Solanum lycopersicum: one gene and its partner. The protein of the gene in region 1 interacts with the protein of each later gene in a pairwise test. Links are inferred from orthologs where the notes say so. Each region holds a gene or a part of one and is shown on either strand. Other genes may lie near its edges.

Region 1 (2,640 bases):
GAATCCCACAACATGTTAATTTATCAGTTAACAGGTTTATCAATAAAAATGATCAATCTCTAACTCATTAAGACACTTCCTGTTTCTGTATACTCCTCCGTCCCAATTTACGTGACATTCTCTCCTTTTTGGTCAGACGAAGAAAAAGGATAACTACTCTCCATATTTAGTTACAATTTGACTTTATACTTCTCATTCTACCCTTTGTGAGACGATATATATGCACACAAACATCTATGACTTATTTTAGACTACAAGTTTTAGAAGTCTTCATTTCATTTCTTCAACTCCATTCCTAGTCAAACACGTTCACATAAAATGGACGGAGATTCATTAAGACACTTCCATTTTAGATTATATGTTCTTTTTTTGCTGAATTATTTGTATCTCCCAACAGAAAATGTTCATGAAGGGATTCTCAGGAGACTTAGAAGCTGCTCATGCCAAAGCCACTCAACTTGCTGGAGAAGCTGTAGCTAATGTAAGAACAGTTGCTGCCTTTAATTCGGAGACGAAAATAGTCAACCTTTTCGACGCAAGCCTCCAGACTCCGCTTAGGCGTTGCTTCTGGAAGGGACAGATAGCGGGAAGTGGTTATGGGATTGCTCAATTCTTGCTTTATGCTTCCTATGCCCTTGGCCTTTGGTATGCCTCCTGGCTTGTCAAGCACGGGATCTCTGACTTCTCGAAGACGATCCGTGTCTTCATGGTGCTCATGGTTTCTGCTAATGGTGCAGCCGAAACATTGACCTTAGCCCCCGACTTCATCAAGGGTGGCAGAGCAATGCGTTCTGTTTTCGAACTCCTTGACCGTAAAACAGAAGTTGAGCCGGATGATCCAGATGCTACCGCTGCCCCTGATCGTCTTCGTGGTGAAGTGGAATTTAAGCATGTAGACTTCTCATATCCCACTAGACCCGACGTGTCAATTTTCCGTGATTTGAATCTTCGTGCTCGAGCTGGAAAGACTCTTGCTCTTGTTGGACCAAGTGGATGTGGAAAGAGCTCAGTCATTGCACTTATAGAGAGGTTCTACGAGCCATCATCCGGACGTGTCATCATCGATGGCAAGGATATTCGTAAGTACAACCTTAAATCCTTGAGAAGACACATTGCTGTAGTGCCACAAGAACCTTGCCTCTTTGCTACCACCATCTATGAAAACATCGCGTATGGACACGAGTCAGCAACCGAAGCTGAGATAACCGAAGCAGCAACCTTGGCAAACGCCCACAAGTTCATATCTGCATTGCCTGATGGATACAAAACATTCGTCGGAGAAAGGGGAGTTCAATTGTCCGGTGGACAAAAGCAAAGAATCGCCATTGCTCGTGCTTTCCTAAGGAAAGCTGAGCTAATGCTGCTAGACGAAGCAACAAGTGCACTCGATGCAGAGTCCGAAAGATGTGTACAAGAAGCATTGGATCGCGCTTGTGCAGGTAAGACCACTATTATTGTTGCACATAGGCTATCTACAATCAGAAATGCACATGTGATCGCGGTCATAGACGATGGGAAAGTAGCAGAACAAGGTTCTCATTCTCATCTGCTGAAAAACTACTCAGATGGTATTTATGCGCGTATGATACAACTACAACGATTTACACATGGAGAAGCTGTGAATATGGCAACAGGATCAACGTCTTCTTCGCGTCCTAAGGAAGATCTAGATTGAGAAAAAAAACGCGAATTGAAGCTCAAAATGAAAATACCACTAGAAAAAAAAAGAAAGAGGAGTATACCTTGTGTAACACCCTTATTATTTTTTGGACTGCTAATTTCTTGTTCACTGTTGCTAGTATAGTATAGTATAATATGTGCATTAATCCAAAATTTATATTTATCCTTCAATCTTTCACTCTTTTTCTCTGAGAACACACCAAATCAACTCAACTTAGTTGTGGCAGTACAATGTTTGTATTACGGTAGACTGTTTACATCATAGCCCCTTACTTGAATCATGATAACGCAGAATGCTTTATGCACCGTATTTTGCTTTTCTTTAGTTGTACAATGTAGGAAGGAAGAAAAAGGGTGAGTGGGACAATTCACTATCTTTATGGGGATTTTTAGTACCTAGTGTTCATTAGCTACTCGATAAAGTGGTTGAGAGTTGTGAGGTTTCAGGTTTAAATTTCATTAGAGGAAAAAAAAACACTATGTGGTGATTCGTCTCATCTGTCCTAGCATAGGTGAATAGAGTTACTTGGTATTTGTTACTGGTGAGAGGTAACGTGTATCTTGTGAAACTGATCGAGGTGCGTGAAAACTGACCCAGATACTATCCTCATAAAAAAAGGTCAAAAGATGACATTTAATCATAGTTTCGAGCCATATACCAACCGAACTAAGTTCAGTATTTAAGTAGAGAAGGATTGCAAACTCATAATCTTCGAGTTTAAAAGGCTTTGACATAAGCATATACCGGTTCAACCAAAGAGTTATCATTAGACGAACAACTGATATTGATCCAAAAGGAAAGACGGTAGGTATAGTTAGGTCGTGATCGAAACCATCCGATATATTCATCCACAGTCATTATGCTCTCCTAAAGTGATCTCCCAAATTCATCGAGTTTTTCCAAAGAATCAAATTGACCAATTATTAATGATATGTCGAAAATTTGTAAAATACTTATTT
Region 2 (2,614 bases), on another chromosome or scaffold:
TTATTTTATTAAACCATTCAACCCCAGATTTCCAGCTCTGCGTTCAAGGTAGACTTTCGAGTAAAATTGGTTTCTTTCTGTTCATTAGCAATAAAAGAACTAATTTTGTTTGTTTACGATTATCAATAATAATAGACTCAAAAAAAAAAAACATTTTTCAAAACAAGTTCGAGGAACTTCAGTATATTTGAACGTCATGTGAAATATTGAAATATTCATCTTCATTTGGAATTATTTCACTCAATAAATCTTTATCTTTCTAACGCCTAATCTAAAGAGTTACTATAGATACCTGTTGTGGCTAATTCTCTCTCTCTCTCTCTCACACACACACACACTATATATATATATATATATTCGAGAGGTGTGATGTAGATAGCTTACTAGTGGTGGTGCTCTACATCTCGAACCCTGACCTATAGCTCGGAGGGATACGACTTTATCATTACTCCAAGCTCCCATTCAATACTATGCATACACACTCTTTGCCTTCATTGTGTAAGCTGTAGCTAGTAGGGGAAAAAGGTTACTTCTAAAACAAGAGAAATTGCAATATCCAAAATACATGTATCATGAGCAAACATTTGAAGTCAGAATGAGGAACTAATTAGCAAGGTGTTATCTCACTAATAAAGTTGCATAATTAAAACACTAAATTTCTTTGGTTAGATTTTTTTTTCCCAACACAAAGGTCAATGAAAAAGCTTCTAGAGCACCAGAGTTCTGTTAACTGGAGTAAAATGGTGGGAAGTAGTTTCTTAGTTTTGGATCCACAATAACATCTCTCCCAATTCAGTTAGTCGTCCTTGCGCGTCTTACGCCTGAAAAGCGTATAAAAGAGTGACAATAACCATTGCCAAATGACAATCAGCCAGTTTCTTGACTTTGGTTTAGGCTCTGGTCTTGGTCCAAATAGTCCTTTGTAAAGTTCCTTTTGTTTCTTATAGACAGCCTTCTCGTGTTCTGCAATCAAATTCAATTCCCTTGTAATGGCTTTATCTTGTGGAGCAAGCTTACGTGCTTTAAGGAAGTCCTCACGAGCTGCATCAGTCTGACCAAGTATAGACCTAGCCTTTCCACGCCTAAACAACGCTTTTACATTGTTTTCTTCTTCTGCTAGGACCTAATCATCATCAGTGAATCAAGCTCAACATTACTAACTTCAACCCTAGTAATTTTTTTCTCTGAATAATGAGTTTAAGAACACTGAAAGAAGATAAAGCAAATAAATTTCATAATTCAGTCACCTAAGTGCTAGCATGGGTGCACTTAGTCCTGGAAAAACTGGACAACTGTATTCTCAACGGTAAAAATAATGCCAGAAGGCCCAGAACAAGTAATTAGGTCATAGCAAACTAACAGGGTAAGGTCTTTAGCAAGAATTATAAACTTATAGACCTCTCCTCTACTAGGGAAAGTAAGGCCATTGCAGATAACTTTTTCCCGAGAATCCATGAGGTAACGGAAAGATAGTAAGCCACAGAAAAAGAAAAAAGCAAGGACAAGAATTATCTACAAAAATGGGAGGCAGCAATACGTATCTAAACTTTGAAGAAGTGTGTGCTTACAATGCTACATTGTGCAATGGCTTCATCATATCGCTGGAGCTTCAGCAGGCAGGCTGCCATGTTCAGATGGCAGGGATTCTTTACAGCTAAAGCCATGTCCCGGAACTTACCGAACAGCTGAAACATGAAGTCATCTCCCATATATGCAATGGCCTAAGGAACGCAAATAGAATACATGACGATGAGGATACATGAAACTTATATGGGTACTAGAAAATATGAACTAATCAACTATAAGCAGTGGTGAGACCATTTCATACTGTTGCATAGCTTCCTCCAGTTTCTCTTCCTTAAATAAAGCATTTCCATCCATCTTTCTTCTATCTGCTGTCCCAATTCTCTCCTCTACTGTCATGTCACCTCGTGCTTTTCCCTAAATATATTGCTTAGAAAATTATGAGTACCAGCCCTTTAGTAAGTACAAACCAGAAATTAATTAAGAAACAAATAACTCACTTCTCCTGTCTCATCGAAGCCAATCAACTCAACCTCATACAATACATCAGCTGTAGGTGGGACATTAGGGAAAGAGAAGTTTCCTTCTTTTCCATAAGCTAGTTCCCAGCCAACATGAAATAAAGCACGCTCACCGGATTTCATGCTGTTAACGCCAATAGCTAGGCCAGTCATTTCCTTTCTCTCTGCAAGAAAACAACAAAGCAATACATCTTATATTGTATTACCTAATTGTAAATAGCTAACAATTATTAAGCGCTAAAACTGATTTTATAAATTAGCAGTTCGGTGCTTGGATTAGTTGGATAGAAATGCTGAAACTTATCATAAAAAGTTGATGTGTAAGACAAAAAGATGCTGAAAATTGAACTGCAACTAATGGTATGCCCTTATCCTTTTTCCTTCCAGTTGTTGTAAATGGTAAATTAGCAATTCAGTAGAGAAAGATTAATAAAGTTCAGTGGAGAAAGATGAGATTTAGGAATAGACAAATTGAGGAATGCACTTATTCTCTATACTATGGGGAATACTCCAAATTAAAATTATATGAGAAACTATATAGCTAGAATTTGGAATTATGTGGCCTGCCC

What was found.
Region 2: the proteins of ABCB14 (region 1) and FKBP42 interact in a two-hybrid assay, tested with the Arabidopsis thaliana proteins (2 studies listed by BioGRID, with this or other methods). The link is inferred for Solanum lycopersicum from reciprocal best matches to the Arabidopsis thaliana genes ABCB1 and TWD1.

Annotation. Positions count from the first base shown.
Region 1 is NC_090808.1:2,180,099-2,182,738, reverse strand, and holds the end of ABCB14 (ABC transporter B family member 1), read left to right. Parts: intron 1-397; coding exon 398-1,675; 3' UTR 1,676-1,851; downstream 1,852-2,640. UniProt on the Arabidopsis thaliana protein: Brassinosteroid exporter that, in conjunction with ABCB19, supports the accumulation of exogenous brassinosteroids (BR) in the apoplast, thus promoting BR signaling initiation involving the specific receptor BRI1 and required for plant growth and stress responses.
Region 2 is NC_090800.1:78,210,060-78,212,673, reverse strand, and holds the end of FKBP42 (peptidyl-prolyl cis-trans isomerase FKBP42), read right to left. Parts: intron 2,210-2,614; coding exon 2,025-2,209; intron 1,942-2,024; coding exon 1,819-1,941; intron 1,722-1,818; coding exon 1,569-1,721; intron 1,124-1,568; coding exon 797-1,123; 3' UTR 515-796; downstream 1-514. UniProt on the Arabidopsis thaliana protein: PPIases accelerate the folding of proteins. It catalyzes the cis-trans isomerization of proline imidic peptide bonds in oligopeptides.